Mus musculus: one gene and its partners. The protein of the gene in region 1 purifies or fractionates together with the protein of each later gene. This does not show direct contact. Links are inferred from orthologs where the notes say so. Each region holds a gene or a part of one and is shown in the gene's direction. Other genes may lie near its edges.

The links.
Region 2: the proteins of Pink1 (region 1) and Sqstm1 purify together in Homo sapiens (affinity purification with mass spectrometry; 3 studies listed by BioGRID and IntAct, with this or other methods). This does not show direct contact. The link is inferred for Mus musculus from reciprocal best matches to the Homo sapiens genes PINK1 and SQSTM1.
Region 3: the proteins of Pink1 (region 1) and Cdc37 purify together in Homo sapiens (affinity purification with mass spectrometry; 6 studies listed by BioGRID and IntAct, with this or other methods). This does not show direct contact. The link is inferred for Mus musculus from reciprocal best matches to the Homo sapiens genes PINK1 and CDC37.
Region 4: the proteins of Pink1 (region 1) and Vim purify together in Homo sapiens (affinity purification with mass spectrometry; 3 studies listed by BioGRID and IntAct, with this or other methods). This does not show direct contact. The link is inferred for Mus musculus from reciprocal best matches to the Homo sapiens genes PINK1 and VIM.

What each region holds. Positions count from the first base shown.
Region 1 is NC_000070.6:138,312,346-138,317,479, reverse strand, and holds the end of Pink1 (serine/threonine-protein kinase PINK1, mitochondrial precursor), read left to right. Parts: intron 1-11; coding exon 12-175; intron 176-1,279; exon of another isoform or gene 1,280-1,348; coding exon 1,349-1,476; intron 1,477-1,746; coding exon 1,747-1,983; intron 1,984-3,266; coding exon 3,267-3,524; 3' UTR 3,525-4,071; downstream 4,072-5,134. UniProt on the Homo sapiens protein: Serine/threonine-protein kinase which acts as a sensor of mitochondrial damage and protects against mitochondrial dysfunction during cellular stress.
Region 2 is NC_000077.6:50,203,568-50,208,813, reverse strand, and holds part of Sqstm1 (sequestosome-1), read left to right. Parts: intron 1-897; coding exon 898-993; intron 994-1,177; coding exon 1,178-1,407; intron 1,408-1,512; coding exon 1,513-1,654; intron 1,655-2,710; coding exon 2,711-2,791; intron 2,792-5,246. UniProt on the Homo sapiens protein: Molecular adapter required for selective macroautophagy (aggrephagy) by acting as a bridge between polyubiquitinated proteins and autophagosomes.
Region 3 is NC_000075.6:21,146,094-21,151,985, reverse strand, and holds the start of Cdc37 (hsp90 co-chaperone Cdc37), read left to right. Parts: upstream 1-2,051; 5' UTR 2,052-2,128; coding exon 2,129-2,230; intron 2,231-5,892. UniProt on the Homo sapiens protein: Co-chaperone that binds to numerous kinases and promotes their interaction with the Hsp90 complex, resulting in stabilization and promotion of their activity. Inhibits HSP90AA1 ATPase activity.
Region 4 is NC_000068.7:13,572,054-13,577,979, forward strand, and holds the start of Vim (vimentin), read left to right. Parts: upstream 1-2,257; 5' UTR 2,258-2,378; coding exon 2,379-2,941; intron 2,942-3,487; coding exon 3,488-3,548; intron 3,549-5,926. UniProt on the Homo sapiens protein: Vimentins are class-III intermediate filaments found in various non-epithelial cells, especially mesenchymal cells. Vimentin is attached to the nucleus, endoplasmic reticulum, and mitochondria, either laterally or terminally.

The sequences.
Region 1 (5,134 bases):
CCTCCTGCCAGCTACCCCTGTACCCTGCGCCAGTACCTTGAGGAGCAGACTCCCAGTTCTCGCCTGGCTACCATGATGACCTTGCAGTTGCTGGAGGGCGTGGACCATCTGGTTCAGCAGGGCATTGCCCATCGGGATCTCAAGTCCGACAACATCCTTGTGGAGTGGGACTCAGGTAGCTGCTGGCCAGAGCCACAGTGCTCTGGACACACCCAGAGTGCTCCAAGAAGGGGCATTAGAGACCCTGAGGGCAGTGTGTGTGTGTACATGTGACATGCACATGTCGAGGCCAAAGGTTGGGGCCTGGCCCCTGTCTCCTTCTCTCTCCCTTATGTTTTTAGAAAGGGTCATTCACTGAGCCTGGCGCTCACTGTTTCAGTAAGGCTAGCTGCCCACCAAGGCCCTGGGATCTCTCTCCATCACCCTAGTGCTGAGGTTATAGCTTTGACATGGGTGGTGGGGATCCAAGTAGGTCCTCACTACTCTAACCACTGAGCAATCTCCCCAGCCCTCTGAATATTCTGTACTGCCTTCTTTAGCTCTACTTCAAGAGAGGACTCCCCTCCATCTCATGGGTAAGATAGGCAACAGCCCTCTTACAGTTCCTGGGGTCTTCTCTGTGGCCCCCTTGCAGAACAATACCATCTGTCCTGTAGTTTTTGAACCAGTGAGAGGTAGGAGAGGTAGCCAGATTGTGGCTCAGTGAAAGCTGCCCACACAAACCCCTGGCTTCTCCATCACTGGCAACATGCAGTGAGCATGCAATGAGAAGCCCTGCCTGGGATGTTCTAGAGGATTGCCGGGCTGGAGAGATGGCTCCGTGCTTAAGTGCTCCTCTCTTCTGGATGGCCTGAGTTTGGTTCCCAGCACCCAGGTGGAAACGCACAGCTGCCTCTAACTCCAGCTCCAGAAGATCTGGCGCCCTCTTCTGGCCTCTCCGGGCACCAACACACATAGATAAAAATAAAACAGATCTTTTTTTTTCCAGACCTGAGGAACTGAACCCAGGGCCTTGCGCTCTACCACTGAGCTAAATCCCCAACCCCAAAACAAATCTTTTTAAAAATTAAACTTAAAATAATTAAATGTGTCACTAGAAAGCTTTCTTAGGAACTCCAGGAGCCTTTCTCTCCCAAGGTCCATTTGTTAGATTATTGGCATTACAAACTCAAATGTAAGACTCCTAGAATATAAAGACCCTTGGGGACCATTTTGCCAAGGATGAAGTCTCTGAGCTGTATCTAGTCTAGTTCATCCTTACCTTGGTGGTAGCGTCTGGAGGGGATCTGGGAGGGGCTGTCAGGAGTACAGGCCGACTGCACCGCTCACCTTGGCCGCCTCTCTGCAGATGGCTGTCCCTGGCTAGTGATCTCAGACTTTGGCTGCTGCCTGGCTGACCAGCATGTTGGCCTGCGGCTGCCTTTCAACAGCTCCAGTGTAGAGCGTGGTGGCAATGGCTCCCTGATGGCCCCTGAGGTGAGTCCTGCCTGCTGTGTTTGTGTCCTGCCAGCAGGGGGCATTTCCTAAACGTTCCCAATAAGCGACTGCCCCCACTTTCACTGGGCTGGCCTGAGGTCCCCGGGAGGTCTGTCTGCATCAATGGGTGGCTGTGGCAGATGTCTCCCGGCTTCATGCCTCCCTGTGATGCATTTACATGCAGGGTTCAGATTTGATCCCAGCTTAGGCTGTGCATGAACACAAAAGATGGGCCCAGTGGGGCCTGACCTCTCTTTCTGCTTCCCGCAGGTGTCCACAGCCCATTCTGGCCCCAGTGCGGTAATTGACTACAGCAAAGCCGATACCTGGGCTGTGGGGGCCATCGCCTATGAAATCTTTGGGCTTGCCAATCCCTTCTATGGCCAAGGCAGTGCCCACCTCGAGAGCCGCAGCTACCAGGAAGCTCAGCTGCCTGAGATGCCTGAGTCGGTGCCTCCAGAGGCAAGACGGCTGGTGAGGTCACTGCTCCAGCGAGAGGCCAGCAAGGTGAGGCTGTTCCCAAGCTCTGGCCTCTGGGTGAGGGCCTCTGCTCATGTCTGAGTCAAGGCTGAGTTTAGGCAAGTTCTACAGTGTTAAACAGAGCCTGTCATATACAGGCAAAGGCCAGCTACAGAACAGGGTAGGTTTGAGAATAAACAGGGCAGGAAGCTGGCCAGTTAGCCCTGAATCAGAGGCCTAGCATCGTAGCCTCTGGGTCCTTTTGGGTCCCTTTCACTCCCTGTTCATGGGGCTTTGGCATGCCGGGCCATGTCACCCGTGCTTCCCAGTCCTCTTGACTTTGGCTATATTGGAGTTGCTTAGAAGGATGGCCTGGCAAGATGGCTCAGCAGGTAAAGGGGCTTGCCACACCTGACAACCGGAGTTCAAAACCTGGGACCCACATGAAGGCAAAAGGAGAGTGCTGACCTCACCAAGTTATCCTCTGACCTCCACACACACATCGGATAGATCCAACAAGAATGAAAAAACCTTAGGGCCGGCGAGATAGCTCGGCGGATAAAGACACTTGCTGCTGAGTTTGATCCCCACGACCCACACAGGAAGGAGAGAGCCAACTCCTGCAGCCTCCCGCCCCCTAGATAAATAAATGTAACTAGAATATTTTGTTTAAAGGAGACTGGCTTGGAAAGAAAAGGATGTGTTTTTGAGAAACATGTAGCAAAGATGCAGCAGTGGAAGGAGTACTCCTCTCAGCCCAGCAGGAGCCCAGAGGCCAGTTGGCCTGAGCCAGACTTGCAAGGGCAGGTCTGGTAAGGGTGGCTCCTTAGAAAACCCTGAGATGGGCCTGGCTTCAGCCTATTGTTCTGCAGCCTCCTCACCCCTCACTGTTCACACCCCTCACTGTTCACACTCTCACTGTTCACACTCCTGTTTATACCTCTCACTATTCACACCCCTCACTGTTCACTCACTCTTCACATCCTACTGTTCACACACCTCATTGTTCACACCCCTTGCTCTTCACACTCATTGTTCACACCCCTTGCTCTTCACACCCTTACTTCATAGCGGCTGCTCAGCAACTACATCAGGTGCAAAGGCTTTTTGCCGCAGTGCTAGAGATCAGAGCAGTGTATGGGACCCCTTCATGACAGAGGTGTCCCAGCAAAGCCAACATGGGCAAGGTCCTGGGCTTGGTTAGGGGGTAGCTGAGGGAAGATAGGAGGAAGAATCAAATTGGGGCAGGCCTGAGATGGCACTCCCTCGGCTGCAGTGTGGACTATGTGCTTTGTGCAGGCATTCTGACGGCCCCTTCCGTTGCTTTGCAGAGACCGTCTGCACGCTTAGCTGCAAATGTGCTGCACTTAAGCCTCTGGGGCGAGCATCTTCTAGCCCTGAAGAACCTGAAATTGGACAAGATGATCGCCTGGCTCTTGCAGCAGTCAGCAGCCACTCTGCTGGCTGACAGGCTGAGAGAGAAGAGCTGCGTGGAGACAAAGCTGCAGATGCTGTTTCTGGCTAACCTGGAGTGTGAGGCTCTCTGCCAGGCAGCCCTCCTCCTCTCTTCCTGGAGGGCAGCCCCATGATGGCTCTGTGCTCCAGTTACTAAAAGACTAAGGGGCATCTGTGTCCTGATGTCATGACAGTATACGAAGGCTGAAGAAGGTGGCTTGGCTGGGTGGGCAGGAGTCAGGGGACAAGCTGGAGTAGAGGGAGGGGCTGGTCAGCCTTGGGCTCAGCAAATGGGAAGAACAGCCTTGAACAGCTCAGGAGGGAGAGAGGCACTACCTGTGCCCGTCCAGTTAGGTTCTTGGGCAGAATTAAGACATCAGGCCAGACCAGGAGTTGGTAAGCTATAGAGGGCCAGACAGGGAATGAAGTAGTTGTAATGACTAACCTATCACTGAGGCAAAGGCCAAGCAAGCACTGCAGTGAGGCCAACACTGAACTTTGCTTGTCGTCAATAAGTTCTGCTCATTTTTCCCAACCACTTAGAAATGCAAAAACATAGGTTTAATTTGTAAGCAGCAACCAGCATGGCTCATAGTCAAATTTACCAATTCCTGGGCTAAATGCATTCTTTATGTCTAACTCTTTAAAGATGCGAGCATTAAAGACAGTCTCCATGCCAAAGATGTGTACACTGGAGCCAAGTGTTCTCCCACCAGAGGAAAATCACGCTCACTCTGCAGACCAGGAAGCGCTCCCCGCCGTGATGGTAGATGTGGACAGGCTGAGGGGGTTAGACCCGTCCTTCCTGTCTCCGAGACCCAAGGGCAGTAGCTGGCAGTTTATGGCCCCCGTCCCTCATGCCAGTAATGGGCTTTATAACAGAGGTGGCCACTATTGCCTGGCATGTGCCCTCTAGGCTGAGGGCAATGCTGTTTATGACCATCCTCCTACGGCAGGGTCTGCAGGGCTGGTGCAAGGCACGGGTGTGTCTGCAGGGCCTGGGAATGCATCCCTCAGAGCCGCTGAGCTGCAGCAGGCACTCGGTGTGGTGTGGGACCTGGGGGTCTTGTGCCAGCCTTTCTTACAGGAGCCATGGAATATTAAATGTGAGTTTACAGCATAGAGCAGAGCACAGTGTGCTGAACTGAGGGTCTTGCATTAGGAATGAGTCTCATGCCCTAACAGAGACAGTTCACATACAGTTTAACAGATGTGGCTGAGCTGTGGCTCATGTGCATGCCTTTGACCCCAGCATGTAGAAGATCTCTCAAGAGTTCAAGGCCAGCCTGGTCTACAGAGTGAGTTCTAAGACAGCCAGGGCCACACAGAGAAACCCTGTCTTGAAACAAAACAAAAACAAAGGAACTAAAAGAACACTGATAGGACCTAGAGCCAGTGAACAGGAACACAAACCTTGTCTTGAAACAAAACAAAAACAAAGGAACTAAAAGAACACTGATAGGACCTAGAGCCAGTGAACAGGAACACAGGGGTTTTCTTTATTTTATGCATATCGTGTTTTGTCTGTACATACGATGTATCACTTAAATACCTGGTCTCCTGGGAGGCCACAAAAGGGCATCAGATCTCCTCAGACTACCATTATAGAAGGTTGTGAGCTGCCATGTGGGTGCTGGGACTTGAACCTGGGTCCTCTGCAGTGCTCTTAACCTAGTCATCTTTCCAGTCCCTCTCGGGTCTCTTCAGCAGCAATTCTTAGGCCAGCTGTCAGTCTAGTTTCCAC
Region 2 (5,246 bases), on another chromosome or scaffold:
ACAATATTAAAAAAACAAAACAAAACCTGGAAGCCTGGTTGCATGTTTGTAATCCCAGCACGAAGGCGGCTCATCCACAGGTTGTAGGCTGTCCTGCTCTAAGTAGTGTCAGGCCAGGTAGGGCTACATACTAAGATCCTGCCCCTGAAAGCAGAAAACATAGAATTGACAAAAACAGAACAAACAACAACCTCAGAACAACTTAGATGCCAGGCATGGTGGCTGCACGCCTTTAATCCCAGCACTTGGGAGGCAGAGGCAGGCAGATTTCTGAGTTCGAGGCCAGCCTGGTCTACAAAGTGAGTTCCAGGACAGCCAGGGCTATACAGAGAAACCCTGTCTCAAAAAACAAAACAAAAAAACACCAAAAAACCCAAGAACAACTTAGATGGAGCCTGAATGTAGTGGTTTCTAGCTGTCTAGTTGAAGGGAGGGGACAGATGGACTTACGTCCTTTACTTCTGAAGCCTGAGGCCTTTGAAGGGCTGGGCCATCAGGACTAGGGTGGGATCTCCCAGGTGATGGACCCACACCTGGTTAGGCGTGGCCTGAGGGCACAGGTGGCCCAGTGGTTAGTGGCAGGAAGCTGGACCCTTATACACATATACACATGACATATGTTCTGCCTTCTGCATGTAACTAATCTAGGACCTAGGTTGGAGTACATATTCATGCCGTATCGGAATGAACGGCCATCTTGCTGCTTGGCTCAGCAGCCAGGTTGAGTGTAGAGCCTTAGTAGATGTCCCTTTACCACTGGGCTCTGTACACTGCAGCAGATGCTGGGTGCCTCTGCTGCATTTTAGCCTCTAGTTCTGGGAATGGAACCTAAGGCCTTTGCATGCTCCCGCCGAGCTGTGTCCCTGGCTCTGATGTGTCATTTCTTGAACAATCTAGATGAGGATGGGGACTTGGTTGCCTTTTCCAGTGATGAGGAGCTGACAATGGCTATGTCCTATGTGAAAGATGACATCTTCCGCATCTACATTAAAGGTAAAGGCTGAATCCGGGGCTTCCTTCCTGTGGGGCTTTCCTCGAAGGGTCAGGAGTCGGAGTTGTGATGCCTTGGGGTGGGTGTAGCGGGGCTGGGAGTTGTCAGAGGCACAGAGGTCCTGGCCTCCTAAGCGGTTGTCCTTAGCAACTAAGTTCTGGATGGACTCTTTGACTCTCCCTGCAGAGAAGAAGGAGTGCCGGCGGGAACATCGCCCACCATGTGCTCAGGAGGCACCCCGAAACATGGTGCACCCCAATGTGATCTGTGATGGTTGCAACGGGCCTGTGGTGGGAACTCGCTATAAGTGCAGTGTGTGCCCAGACTACGACCTGTGCAGCGTGTGCGAGGGGAAGGGCCTGCACAGGGAACACAGCAAGCTCATCTTTCCCAACCCCTTTGGCCACCTCTCTGATGTGAGCCGGGGCTCTGCCGTCCTGGGGCGTGGGGGGCATACAGGGTGGTGGGAGCTGGAAACCCTGACCCCTCACTCTCCTCCTGTCTTGCTTCCTCCTACCCAGAGCTTCTCTCATAGCCGCTGGCTTCGGAAGCTGAAACATGGACACTTTGGCTGGCCTGGCTGGGAGATGGGCCCACCGGGGAACTGGAGCCCACGTCCTCCTCGTGCAGGGGATGGCCGCCCTTGCCCTACAGCTGAGTCAGGTAAGACTGGTATTTGAACTAGCTTTTGGGTGTCTTAAGTAGCCAGCTAGTTCAGGTAGGCCCTTGGCCAAGCCATCCCCATAGCCTAAAGTCCAGAAGTACCCACACTGAGTTGCACATTACACATCCCTTTACCTTTTTTTTTTTGTCTTTTGGGGGAATGGAGGTTGAACCTAGGGTCTTACACATGACACATAGGGGTTCCTTTTTTGTGCTACACTCTATCCTTATCCATGGTATCAAACCCTCTTAACCCCGAAGAGACAAAGCATTTCTCTTTTACAAGTGGGTAAACAGGTGGCTGAACGCCTGAGCCCACTAATTTCCCTAAATGGCCCACCGTCCCCTGCCAGGCCGCCCTTGGGAGGCATGGGTAGGTGGCTGGATTTCTAGAATGTATTTTCTTTTGTTTTGGGTTAACTTGGGAATATCAGGGCCATAGGTGCTCAAATCTTTAAACAAAAAAACCCATGGTCCCAAAGCCAGGCGTGGCAGCACGTACACTGTAATCTCAGGCCTCGGCATGTAGAGGCTAGAGGACCAGAAAGTCAGAGCCAACTGTGGTATAAGATCCTGTCTCAAAATCCTGAAAGCAAAGAACTCACAAGTGGGTGGGCCCACACTCTAGATTTGGGGTTTCTGCCTTTTGATTTTTTTTTTCCCTCTTGAGTCTCTCTATGGCCCTGGGGAGCCTAGAACTCACTGTGTAGCCCAAGATGGCCTTAAACTTGAGATTCTCCTGCCTCAGCCTCTTGAGGCTTAGTTTATAGACATGTGCCAGCCCAGCCAGCCGGGCTCTGTGGATTTTGAGTAAACAGCACATCTAGGACAGGGTCAGTATTTATACATGGGCTGTACTGAGCCAGAGAGGCCCAACATGTGACCCACTAGGGGACCAAGCTTGCAGAGGGGAGGGGACAGGAGGAAGTACCAAGTATGGTCAGGCAATCCCAAGCCAGGAATTACCTCGATGATAGGAACCTTGGAACCCATGTGCTGGGACTGTGGTAGGTGGCAGTCACAGAATTTGAGGTCATCTTTCTTCTTGTAAAACAGCTTCTGCTCCACCAGAAGATCCCAATGTCAATTTCCTGAAGAATGTGGGGGAGAGTGTGGCAGCTGCCCTCAGCCCTCTAGGTGAGTGAGCTTTCTTGCCATCCTGTGAGATACCCTAGTGGCTTGGTGACTGTCTTAGTTTGGGTTTCTATTGCTGTGAAGAGACACCATGACCTCAGCAACTCTTATAAAGACAGCATTTCACTGGGGCTGGCTTACAGTTTGAGAGGTTTAATCCATTATTGTTATGACAGGAAGCATAGCAGCACAAGGCAGACATGGTGCTGGAGAGAGGGAGCTGAGAGTTCCACATCTGGTTTGAGATTCTGAGCCCTCAAAGCCCACCCTAGTGACTCACTTCCTCCAACAAAGCCATGCCTCCTGATAGTGCTACTCCCTATGGGTCTATGGGACCAATTTTATTCAGACTACCACAGTGGCTCAAAGTGCAAATAGTCTTTGGCAGCCTTTCCTGGCATGGTGCAGGGGCCAGGGCAGATATGTGTGCTCGACTCCAGCAAGGTTTTGTTGTGTAAAATTAGCCTTTGCTGCGGACTGGAATGGATGGGCGCCTGAAGGTTGAGCTCCTGGCTGACTTTGAGCCTTCTTCACAAAGCAGAAGGAACTAGTAGGGGAGATAGATTGGCAGATGGGCCAGCTGATCACAGCTTTGGGTAACAGCAGCCTGCTTTTTCTGAGCCAAGTGGGTTGTATTTGTTTAGACTTGAAAGCAGGCCGGTGATTTGTTCTTCTTTTCTTTAGACAAGGCTTCACTGTAGCCCAGGCTGACCTTGAACTTGTGTAATTCTCCCTTGGTCTACCAAGTGCTGGGATTTGTTTTCTCACAAGCCTCTCTGAGACGGAGAAGGTGCTAGAGTAGGGACAAGTGCTTTGGGTTCTGCCAGGCTCCATGCAAAGGACAGTGGCGGTCTGCTGAGGTGGTGGCCGGTGTCATCTCTATACTGTGATGCTAGGCACCGGCTGTTGGACACACTGGTGTGGTTTAGAAGGTGCTTGCCCACATCTGGTTACCCTGTTGGCAGTGTTAGTAGTTGGCCACAGGAACCTGTACAAAGGCTGTGTCAGTATCCAAAGGAATGCTGATGAAGCGTGTCCAAGCCCCACCAGTCTCCACTTCATCTTGTACCAGGTGTGACCACCGCTCGCTGCAGGCAAGGCCATCTCTGCTCATGCTGCCCCAGGGGCAGCTCTGAGGCAGTAGGGACATCCTGGCCTGGCAGTTAAGTTGAGCAGCTGAGGATGAGCCGTGCTGGAGCTCTGTGTTAGAGTGTTAAGACTGTGCGTTCAATTCCCAGCACCAACACCAAGCACAGACAGGGCAGTTCAGTTAGACCATGGCCTTAGCACTGGAGGAAGAGGCTCTTGAGAGACACAGCCAGCTGATGGCTTTCATCTCGGGCACTTGAAGCACCTGACCCTTTTGCTACATAAGCTAAGGCACCTGGAAGTGGGCATCAGAAATGAGCAAAGGAATAGGCGGCCCAGCATTTCAGCCTCACTGGCCTGACAACAGCTGAAGAATCCTTGCTGAGGGAAGGCCAAATGCCTAACAGAACACCAGCTCCTGGCAGCTGGGTTTTCTTGGTGCCTGCCTCTGGATGCTCTATATATGTGAAACTGACAGCGGTCCTGGTCATGCCAACAGAGTGTCTTGCTAGTGTCTTTAGGATCAGAAGCCATATATGACTATCTCAAAGGGTCATCTGGGGGCCAAATCCCATATGCGTTGTGGAGGGCCTGACTACTGAGTGTGCTTTCCAAGGAAAAGCCAAACCTGATGGGTGCCTGATAGCCATGAACCACAGAAAATGAAAAAGACTCTGGAAAGAATCAGGAGGTTATAATACAAAAGGGGAGATGTACTCTTGACAGTAGCGAGAAGACCTACAAGCCCAGTGCAAACAACATTTACACAGTGTTAGTAGTGTAAATACTTTTTTGCTTGGTTGGATTTTTTCAGCCAAAGGTGGTCTCTTAAAAGGATAGGGGAGCTGGGCGTGGTGGTGCACGCCTTTAATCCCAGCACTTGGGAGGCAGAGGCAGGCGGATTTCTGAGTTCGAGGTCAGCCTGGTCTACAGAGTGAGTTCCAGGACAGCCAGGGCTACACAGAGAAACCCTGTCTCGAAAAAACCAAAAAAAAAAAAAAAAAAAAAAAAGGACAGGGGAAGGGAGGTGGTAAATATTGACAAGGTAGGAAGTAAACAGATGAGAACTTGAACCAGGGGCCCAGAGCTGGGGGGTTGAAAGGCCACAGTGGGACTCGGGGTCAGTTGGTGTGTGGTTGGGAAGGGACTGTGGAAGCTGTGGGTGCTGTCCTTTCACGAGTGAACCTGCTGGGTCCCTAAGCTCCTACTACAAACACGGGCAGGCCGCTACACTGGTTGGGTGCTCTCCAGCCTCAGGGCCACACACTCAGCTGAACCTTGGAGTTCAGATGTATAGTTGTCACATCATGAGACCTTGTGTGTCATGGCCTCCAGCAGTCATGGCTAGACATTCTGCCCGTGTATAGTA
Region 3 (5,892 bases), on another chromosome or scaffold:
GGTTTAGTGCCACCAAGCCTGATGAACTGAATTTGATCAGTGGGATTCACATGGTGGAACAAAACTGACTCCAGAAAGTTGTTTTGATGTTCACATGTGTACAAACACATACAAAATTAATAAAATGTCATTTTAAAAACCTCCTTATTTAGCTGAACATGGTGGTGCACACCTTTAATACTAGCACTTGAGAGGCAGAAGCAGGCGGATCTCTGAGTTTGAGGCCAGCCTGGTCTACAAAGCAAGTCCAGGACAGCTGGTTACACTAAGAATCCCTCTCTGGGGGTAGGGTGTTGGGGAGAACAGAAAAAAAACCCTGACTTATTTATTTTATGTGTATTGTGTCTGCATATATGTCGGTGTGAGTATCAACCCTTCTGGAGCTGCAGTTACAGACAAATGTGAGTTGCTATATGGGTGCTGGGAATTGAACCTGGGTCCTTTGAAAGAGCAGCCAGTGCTCTTAACTACTGAGTGGTCGCTTCAGCCCCTAAGATGTAATTTAAAATTTTATTTATTTACTTATTTATTTAGCCAGGTGGTCCTGCTATATGCCTTTAGTCCCAGCATTTAATCTTCAGAGGCAGAGGCAGTCAGAGCTCTGAGTTCTAGGCTATTCTGGTCTATAGAGTGAGTTCCAGGACAGCCAAGGCTACACAGAGTAATTCTGTCTCAAAACAAACAAACAAACAAACAAACAAATAAATATTTTTTAAAATTTAAGGGCAGATCTGGTGTAGTGGGGCACACCTTTAGCCCCAGCACTGGGGAGAAGAGGTAGAAAGATCTGTTAGTTTGAAGTCAGCCTGGTCTACATAGTGAATTCCAAGACAGCCAGAGCTGTCTTATATACAGTGAGACTCTGGTGGGGGTGGGGGTGGGGTGGGAATTAAGGGCAAACATGATTAAAAAAAACAAATTGTATATTAATGTTTTGTCTGCAAGTATATCTGTCCACCACATGCATGCCTGGTGTAGTCAAAGGCCAAATGGGGACATAATATATATATCCTGGGTTGGACTTACAGATGGGTGTGAGTGGCCATGTAGGTGTTGGGAACAGAATCCGGGTGCTCTGGAAGACCAGCCAGTCTCCAAACTATTGAGCCAACTTTCCAGCCTCAATTTTGACTTTTTTTTTTCCATTTTTTATTAGGTATTTAGCTCATTTACATTTCCAATGCTATACCAAAAGTCCCCCATACCCACCCACCCCCACTCCCCTACCCACCCACTCCCCCTTTTTGGCCCTGGCGTTCCCCTGTACTGGGGCATATAAAGTTTGCGTGTCCAATGGGCCTCTCTTTCCAGTGATGGCCGACTAGGCCATCTTTTGATACATATGCAGCTAGAATCAAGAGCTCCGGGGTACTGGTTAGTTCATAATGTTGTTCCACCTATAGGGTTGCAGATCCCTTTAGCTCCTTGGGTACTTTCTCTAGCTCCTCTATTGGGAGCCCTGTGATCCATCCATTAGCTGGCTGTGAGCATCCACTTCTGTGTTTGCTAGGCCCCGGCATAGTCTCACAAGAGACAGCTACATCTGGGTCCTTTCGATAAAATCTTGCTAGTGTATGCAATGTTGACTTTTTTTTTTTAGAGTGTTGTTTGTATAACAACCCTGACCGTCCCTAAAATTACTCTGTAGGCTAGGCTGGCCTCGATCCGCCGGCCTCTGCCTCCGGAGTACTGGCATAGCGCCACTACCGCCCAGCCAATTTTGACTTTTTGACAGTGTCAATATGTAGCCCTGGCTGGACTAGAACTCCTGGAGAGCCACCTGCTTTTGCCTCTAGCGTACTTGGATTACCGTGGGCCACCACGCCCAACGCGACTAACCTTTTGTTTCTAAAGGATGGTCAGTCTGGTTTCGGCGGGAACTTCCAGAAGGCCTCACCACATACTCCTGGCCCTTTAAAGAAGACCTCCGGTTGCCAATGCCGCCGACTCCCGTTGCTAAGGACGTAACGTCCCGCGCCGACGCTGGGGCGGGGCCGTCCTGCGCGGCGCCCTGGGCGGAAGCGGAAGGGGCGGGGCTCGCCGAGCGGACTCTCTAGCCCTTGTGGGTCCCTGTTCAGCGCCCGGCCGTGTGGAGCCCCGGGAGCCAGTCCGGGCCTCCGAAGCGAAGATGGTGGACTACAGCGTTTGGGATCACATCGAGGTGTCGGACGATGAGGACGAGACGCACCCCAACATAGACACTGCCAGCCTCTTCCGCTGGCGGCACCAGGTGGGGCTGTGCGCGCTCATCCCCTTCCCCCCCACTCCCGGGACCCCCCGCTCTAGAGTTCTGACCTCTTCCCCAGGCCACCTGGCGTGGGGGCGGGGGAGACCTTAGTTATTGACATCTGGAGCCGCCTGCTCCACAATCTAGACTTTTCTCTTTCTTTTCTTTTCTTTTTCTTTTTTTTTTTTTTTGAAACAAAATTTCACTGTGTAACCTTCCCTGGCCTAGAACTTGCTGTGTAGAACAGGCTGGTTTCTAACTCACAGTGATCCTCCTGCCTCTGCCTTCCCAGTACTGGGATTAGAGACATGTGCCTTCATGCAGGGCCGGACTTTTTAATTCCATCCCAGGACTCCTGGCTTCTTCACCGTAATTCTTGACCTGTATCTCCAGGCGTTCTCTCTGTGCTATGGTTCTCTTCTGTTTGTAAGTTTATTTATTGTGTGTGTTCCCGTGTGCACGTGGCACAGCATGCCTATGGTGATCACAGGATAACTTGTAGAAGTTGGGCCTCTCTTTTCACCATGTTGGAACTGGCTGTGGAACTCCAGTCGCCCCACGTTGCCACAAGCACCTTTACACTCTGAGCCATTTTATCAGTTGGTAATACTTTAGTCAGAGTCTTGCCTCTCCCCATCCCCAAGCTGACCCTTGTGTGTAGGGTCCCCACTATCCTGTGCAGAACCTTCTGTTCTTCCTCAGAGTCTGGACCCCAGGTTCTGTTAGGTGATCTCATAGCCCAGCCACGCACCCACTTCATATTGCACGTCTCCCTTCTGCCTCTCCTCACTACTTAGAGTCTGGAGCCACAAAACTTCTGACTATGGCATCTATTTCCCAGGATCTTAGGCATGAATTTCTATTAAAGGCCCAGAGACGACCCCCTCCCCCCCCAACTTCCAAACTAAATGAGCCCTTAATTTAACTGTCAATCTTAGCTTGCAGCTGGGATTCCCCAGTCCAGGATCCCTTTCCCTGGGTTATAGACTTGAGTCCCACATGGGACATACCTGTAGAGCCCCCTTATCCTCTGTATTTGACCTCCATCTCCACTCTTGCCCATCATTCAGTTCCAGTGGCTCTCCTTATTCTCACCTCCTGTAGACTCTTATTTCCTGTTACTCCAGGAAACCCCACCCACCTAACTTCCTGTTAGAACCTCTGCTCCTTCTAGTATAGTAAGTAGACCCTCTCCTTCCCACCTTGGCTCCTATATGAACTGTAGCCATCTTTGAAAATTCACCAAACCAGGAGCCAGATGATGATGACACACATTTTTAATCCTAGCTCTCAGGGGGCAGAGGCAGGCAGGCCTGTGAGTTCAAGGCCAACCTGGTCTACAGAGAGTTCTACAGCTAGCTAGGGCTACACAGAGAAACCCTGTCTGGAGGGATGGGGCCGGGAGTCGGGTAGGATAAAGAGAGGGGGGAGGGGAGGAAGAGAAAGAAAAGACAGCTCACCAACCCAGAAAACCAAGCCTGTCCTGTCCTACCTGCCCGTTCCCTCCAGCTTCATCTGTCTCTCTCCAGGGTTCAGAGCATCCTAGTTAACTCTGGACCTCCCAGATAATGTTCCCACATAACCTTACTTTCTGAGCATGGTAGCACACCTGTAAACTCAGGTCTTAGGAGGAGGACGAGGAAGGAGGATCTGGGATTCAGAGTCAGTCCTCGATATAGGGCAAATTCTAGGCTAGCCTGGACTACATGAGACAATATCAAAAACCAAATGGGCTGGAGTTCAGTTGTATGGCATTGCCTTGGGCTCCATCTCTAGCACTGCTTAAAAACTAGCCATGGTGGGGCAGGCCTGTAGTCTGAGCACTGGGGAGAGGGAAGCAGGAGGGTCAGAAGTTCAAAGTCGTCAGCCACGGTAAGTGTGAGGCTGGCACAGGCTACAGGGGATCCTGTCAACCACCAAGCAAATAAAATACAGTCCTCTGCAGTTTTACATCTCTCCAAAACAGACGCCCCAGATTGAGACCTTAGAACCCCAAGTGTGAGCAAGCCATGCTCTTGCCCCTCCCTTGTGCCATCATTACCTGCAGGCCTGTAGCATACTACCAAGATGTGAGGGTGGCCTGGATGTGTGGTTCAGTGGTAGAGTACTTCTCTAGCGTGCAAGAGGTACTGGGTTCCAACTCTGTCGCAGCAGTAAAGAGACAATGGCCTAACCTGCTCCCCAAATTAAAACTTCTATACCCATATACCTGTGTGTCTTATACTCTTTGTTTAAGTTACATCTTAATTTTTTTGTGTGTGTTAATTCTTATGTATGTGTGCCGAGGTATCCTTGTGGCAGTCAAAGGATAACTTGATAGAGTCCACTTTCTCCTTACATGTGGGTTCTTGGGATCAAACTCAAGTCATCAGGCTTGGTAGCAGGCCTTTTCCCACTGAGTCCTCTCATTGGCCCCTGTGCTTGTTATACTCTCAAGCTGAGGGCAGGTACTTTCCATTTAGGAATTTTGCATCTCACCTTCTTGGGGAAAACTTCTCATTACTCCTAGAAAGTCCTTCCCCATCCTCCCCAAATCCAGCATTCGGCTCCCAGTCCCACCCACACACCTATTCCTTCCAGTTTCCTGGGAAGACCACCTGCCAGGCAGCAGTGTGTGGCAGCAGAGAAGCCCAGTGCCTCGCATAGCATTGTATTAGGAAGCACTGAAGAGCCACACACAGCTGCAGAACCATTCCTGGGAACACCTATTTCTGTTCTCTGAAGGTTTGTCTTCCTGCCGGGTGGGAGGGCCTCTGGTCTGCCGGGTGGGAGGGGCCTCTGGTCTGCTGCCGGGTGGGAGGGGCCTCTGGTCTGCTGCTACAGGCTTTGTTTCCTGTCTTGCTGCCATGGCTGTAATACTGAGGAGGGAAGTGGGGCCTGCTGCCCTAGCACATGTGGGAGGACAGGCAGGCTCTGGTGTACACGCTGACTTTACCGTGTTCTATGTCCATCTGTGAGGGGCTGGATTCCTAAGCGCTGAGCAGACGCTTGACAGCGCACATTTCAGGTCTGTGGCCCTGGTGCGCTCTGACTTGGAGGGCTCTCTGGCTGCTCTAACTTTCCTGAGATGGGAGTAGGACCCGGGTGCTCTGTGCAGTCTGTAAGACTTAGAACCCCAGTGTTTAACAACGGCTTCTCTTGGGATAGTTCCTGCCATCACTGCTTAGGTGCTTGTGATTTCAGAACACATTTGAAGCCAGATGTGACAGTGCATGGCTGTCATCTCAGCACTTGAGCGAGAGAGAGGCAGAAGCTATCCTTTGCCACATAGCAAAGGTGAGCACCTGTGTAAAAATAAACAGCAGGGGCTCTGCAAGGTAGCTCAGTGGGGGAAGGCACCGGTCACCTGAGTTTGATTCCAAGAGAGAAGGGACAACTGCAGGGTGTCCTCTGACCTCCGCATCCACACTATGGCACACATCTGTTCCTGCCACCATGCACACAATAAATTAAAATTTGAAATTAGCCAAGCAGTAGGGACCCTTGATCCCAGCACTGGGAAGCTGTGGTGGATCTCTGTGAGTTCAAGGCCAGCCTGGCCTAGAGAGGGAATTTCAGGACAGCTAGGGCAGAGAAATGTTGTTGTTGTTGTTGTTTTTTAATAAAATAATTAATTAATTAATTTTTAAAAATCTGGCTTGACCTGCTGTTGCAGGCTTGTGTTC
Region 4 (5,926 bases), on another chromosome or scaffold:
CCTTCAGGTGATGAAGAGGAGCAGAGCCTACTGAAGAAGTCATCACAACCTGAGGAATTTGCTGTGGTGCCCACATGGCATACTGCCACACCGTACCACAACCCATTCCTCTTTTTCCACAGTGACTCATTAAGCAAGAGTTCCCTGACAAAGCCACTGCACTGCCCTGGGATCTACAAACTATGTAGGAGGAAGGCTAGCCTCCCTCCTCCCCACAGGGAAATCACTTTCCTCATCCTGAGCCATTCCGAGCAATCTCACAATGGTGACATTTGCTGAACCATGGCTTGAATAAAAGGCTCTCAGTGTGCAGAATGGTAACGTGAGGCACAGGCTAACCCTGGCAGTGCTCTCTGGAAAGGACCCACAGCCTCTCTTTGAAAGGAGAATAAAGAAAGGCACAGCAGGAGAGCTGGGTCCCAGAGAGTCCTGCAGGCAACCTTGACCGCAGCATTCCCAGAACTGACTGAGATGAGGTGCACAAAGGGTTGCTTCAAAGAGTCTTGTACAAAAAAGCTAGCATAAATCCTGCACGTGTCTCTAAACGGCCTTTCTTAATTGCCAGGTAAGCTGGGAACACTCTGTGCTCCAAAGAAAAACAAAAGCAAAAACAAAATACAAGCTCCTTTTCCTTCCCTATTCACTAATGGACCCATCTCCCAGTTTGTTTGTTTTTGTTTCAGTACTCCACAAATCCCAAACCAAAAGAAACTGTAATTTTTCTATCCGTGCTTAATCACAAAGGGCCTAACTTCCCTTTCTTGAAAAGTCCTTTTCCCTTGGAGAACGGAGACCCCTTAGTCTTGCCTAGAAGCAAACGTGAAGCAATAGCCTTGAGCTGGTCATTTTCCCTTTGAAAAGGTGACAGTCGCTGCATCTCAACACTCTGAACCTTTTGTTTTGTGGACAGTTGTCGCCATTTCAAGTTAGATTTCATGATTTTTCTTTGTGGAAAATAGGATCTGTGGCGTTGCCCAGACAAGTCACTAGAATCTTCTCCCCTGCATCGCTGCTCTAAAATCTACAGAAATCTGTTTCTTCAGTTTATCACTTGAGCTACATAACTGCCTTTCTTCCGAACTCATTCACCGAATTGGATTTTTTAGCAAAACCCAATGGTTTCTTGTCCGACTTGCTTATCTTCTAATGCAGTCCACTTTCAGAAAGGCCGAGATCACTGGGCTTGCTTTTGAAATTACCAAAGTAGTTTCCTCTTTCACCCAGAACTTAGGGTGTGGTTTCATGCAGGAAAGAGAGAGAGAGAAAGAAAGAGAGAAAGGGGGAGGGAGGGAAGGAGGGAGGGAGGGAGCTTTTGTCGTCAGGGGTGGGGATGGGGGTAGGGGTGTGTGGATGTGTTTTGTGGCTCTCCCGGGTCTGCAAGAGTTTCTTTCTAAGGAGAACTCTCCACACTTCCCCAACAATCACAAGAACGGTTATTCTCAAAGTTGGTTTAAAACTTCGGACAATGAATGAGCTTAGCGCTCTTGGAGTCTGGAGTCAATCTCAACTAACGGTTTTCCTGAACCGCTAGACGATCTCACCCTCAGGGCTCCATGAGTCATATCCACTGACTCAGCGACCCCACCCCGTCCCCTGGGCTTTACTCCAGAGGCAGTGGCTCCTAATCCTCTCTAGTTGAACTGAGTCCGTTAGATCAGGGGATATGACCACGTCAAACAAGCCCTCTGCAAAGGTCTTGAGCCAGATATCTTGGGCTGTGTGCTTCTCCACCCCCAATCTCGGGCCCTCTTTGTTTCTCTCTCCCCGGCTTCCGATCTGCAGGACTGCTTTTGCAGGCTCTTCCTGCTCCTCCGCTCTCGGATCTCCCCACCCACCCAGTCCCAGAAGACCGCAGATCTGCGACTGCGACCACGCCCCTCCTACCAGCGCGCCTAGTCCCACGCCCCTTTGGCCCAGTGCCAGGGATCGCTTTACTCAACTTTCCAGAGCCCCCCTTCCTTCCCCCATGAATCCTTCCCGCGATCCCTTCTTTCTCAGCACCCAAGGGTGAGTAGAGAGTTCGGGTGATCACCAGGAAAGCCCCTGAAAGGCCTAGCACTTCCAATTAGTAACAGGACTGTGCTTGATACCCTACAGCCCTGGAGGAAGGCTCGAGGGGAGCTCCCTCCCCCACCCCCCTTCCTCACTTCTTTCCGGGTCCCCATTGGCTGGCTCGCTCGGCGGCTAGGATGGCAGTGGGAGGGGACCCTCTTTCCTAACAGTGTTATAAAAGCAGCGCCCTTGGCGTTGTCCAGTCCTCTGCCACTCTTGCTCCGGGACCCCAGAGACCCCAGCGCTCCTACGATTCACAGCCACCGCGCCCTCATTCCCTTGTTGCAGTTTTTCCAGCCGCAGCAAGCCAGCCCACCTTCGAAGCCATGTCTACCAGGTCTGTGTCCTCGTCCTCCTACCGCAGGATGTTCGGTGGCTCCGGCACATCGAGCCGGCCCAGCTCCAACCGGAGCTATGTGACCACGTCCACACGCACCTACAGTCTGGGCAGCGCACTGCGCCCCAGCACTAGCCGCAGCCTCTATTCCTCATCCCCCGGTGGCGCCTATGTGACCCGGTCCTCGGCAGTGCGCCTGCGGAGCAGCGTGCCGGGCGTGCGGCTGCTTCAAGACTCGGTGGACTTCTCGCTGGCCGACGCCATCAACACTGAGTTCAAGAACACCCGCACCAACGAGAAGGTAGAACTGCAGGAGCTGAATGACCGCTTTGCCAACTACATCGACAAGGTGCGCTTCCTCGAGCAGCAGAACAAAATCCTGCTGGCTGAGCTCGAGCAGCTCAAGGGCCAGGGCAAGTCGCGCCTGGGCGACCTGTACGAGGAGGAGATGCGGGAGCTGCGCCGGCAGGTGGATCAGCTCACCAACGACAAGGCCCGTGTCGAGGTGGAGCGGGACAACCTGGCCGAGGACATCATGCGGCTGCGAGAGAAGTAAGGCCTGACCTACGCGAGTGGTGGGGTGTGGGAGGGAGGGGAGTCCTGGGCCTTGCACTGGGGCTGCCACGCCCTTGGGGATGTGGCTGGGGTGGCGGTTGTCTGGAGGATAGCAGAGGAAGCGGGCCCCACCCTGAACCTAAACTTTGCAGTGAACATTTCTCTTTTCGCCTCACTCAAGCACTTCCATTGAACTTTTTAGAAAGTTTCTTAGGTCCTTCTTCTGGGCTTACAGTTACCAGACAGGAGGAAAGAATGGGTGTGAAGGGTTCCAGACAAAGAGATGGCAAAGGCATCTGGGATATTGGGACAGGGGATTGGCTGTAATTGTAAGGGAAGGGCAGTGATTGTCTTTTCCAGTGTGCCCCAACTCCAGCTAACACCTGCAGAGAGCTGCCACCTCGACAAGTTGCAGTAACTACTGTGGGTGGAGGTGTCACAGCAGCTCTGGACTCAAGGCTTGGCGGCATTTGTGGTTGGGTGTGGCCGCCCCGCCCCTGGCGGTTTTCCAGTTCCCCTTTGATTAATGTGCTGCTGCTTCAGATTGCAGGAGGAGATGCTCCAGAGAGAGGAAGCCGAAAGCACCCTGCAGTCATTCAGACAGGTTTGTAGACTTCTTTTTCACATGCAGCCAGCAGCCCAATGGAGCCAACCCGCGAGCGGTTCTAAAAGTTACTTCCCTTAGGTTTTAAAAGGTGCAGAACTTCACGTCTGCTTGTAAAGCCCCCTGGCGGCGGAAAGCGCACAGATTGAAAAACTCCACTATTTAGGGCAGTCTTTGGAACATGAAGGCTTTATTTTCTGCTTCGTTTCCAGATTTTTCTGATCCCCCACACCCCCGAAACATTTCTCCTTTCGTTTTTTGAAACATATCGACATTCGGATATTGAATGGTTACAATTTGATTACATTGTGGATTGTGAAGGTGAAATTGGCTAACTTTCACAAGGTCATAAAAACCACAGTTGCTTCCTCCAGTTGGAAATGTAGAATACTCTGGAGGATGAGAAAGTTTAACTGGAATTAAGCCAAGTTCCCTTTCTTCCTTCGAAGTTCGGCACTGCGTGAAAGTTAGCAGAAGAGTCATTGCACAACCATTTTTGAAATCTAACAAGGGTGAAAAGAAGCCATCTGTTCCCGTAGCTCAAGGGTGTTAAAGGTTTCTATGGGCTTCACTATGGAATGTAGATAGGGACGTTCTGGCAAATGCGGTGGCTCTGGACAGAAAGAATAGGGGCCTTTGTGTTCCCAGAGCAGCTTTGCAACAGGCTACATTCTTATTGAATATGTAATGATGTAACCACAGTTCCAATTGGACACAAGTATTTGCTAACATCCATTATCTTGTGTCTGGGCCAGGCTTGTGAGGTATGCCGTGTACAAAGTTCTTAAAGCTAAAGTCCTCCCTCACATTTGGAAAGGCCCCCTTTTAGGGGGGTTTGTAGACTCATTAGCACCCTCCACAAACAAAATTAAACCCTAAACTGAAGAATGGAGTATTTTATGGAGGGAGGATTTGTTTGTTTGTGTTTGTTCCAGGGTTAGGCATTACCTTAGCATCCCGAAGTGGACAGATGGCCAGTTCAGTCTTGTTTGGAACACTTGTTAGGATCAACAGCCAAACTCTCCAGATGAATGTTCTAAGGTAGCATTCTGAAGGCATTTGCATCCTTAATGGCAGTAGACGAATATGCAGCCCCTTTCAGTCACTGGGCATTTTCAGTCATCACCAAAGGAATGTTTTCTACAAAGCACTGAGTTAATACACACCATCTCTTATTTGTGGACTAAAAATTGTTTCATTCATTCATTTAAATGAAATGACACATTTAGCTGAACTTTTTCGAGAAGGTTAGTCCAATATCATTTATATATTTTTTGATGGCTTAGCAGAAGTCAGAAATGAATGATACTACTATTTAAGTTCTTATATTCTTTTTTAAATTAGTATTTTCTTTGGGACTGATAGAGTAACTCAACATTATAGTTATAAACTATACTGCAAATACAGTTGCTTACAAGGGAAGTTTCCAAACATTTCCTTGAAAGGAAACAACATTTCACATGCAAGATTGAACAGTCTGTCTTAAAATAGATCACTTTATAAAAACTCTGCAGAGAAGTTTAAGTATAGTTTCATTGTAAGTGTTTTGATCTGTCATCCTAAAACAGACAAAGTCATTGAAATAACACTGTGACAGCTGGGACAGGCAGAAATACCCTATAGGCTGAGCCAGGGTGTTTTACACATTAAAAAAATTAGAGAAGGCAAAACAATATAGTTCAGGATTATATTTCTTTTCCTTCTTGCCCGAGGAGCATATCTCTGCAAATGCAAGACCTGGATTTTGAACAATGAATTACTACTTGATACGAGGCTAGCCTGGGAACCTGGATGCCAGATAACTGAGTGCTTATTCTAAATTCCAAAGATAAGCATCTGAAGGTTTGAATACAGGAAACAAAAAAGAGCATGCATATATGTTAACCCTTCTGAGCTCAATTTTAAATGATTTTTAAAAAATATGTAATGTGTTTGTGTCTGTGTGAGTGTATAGGACATTTCTGCAGGCTTGCATGAGGCCAGAAGAGGGCACCTGATGCCCTGGAGTTGGAATCATAAACCTTCATGAACTGCTCCATGTGGGTGCTGGGAACCAAACTAAAATCCTCTGAAAGAACAGCATTCTTTACTACTAAGCCTCACTTTAGAAAACATTTTAATTTTATTTTTGAAGCTCTCATTTTTATATTACGTGTACTCAAGCAAACATGAAGTTGGACAATCTCATCAACTACTATCATCACAAAATTACAGACTTATTAAATGTGACAGAGGTTTAAAACTGAAAATGAATTTTTCCATATAGTTCACCATACCATGTCATTGTGCATATACATGTGTTTATTTTTAACTTGTCTACTAGTTAGCTTCAATACAACCAAATGGTTTCCTATTCATTTTTAAAGCTAAGAATGAAT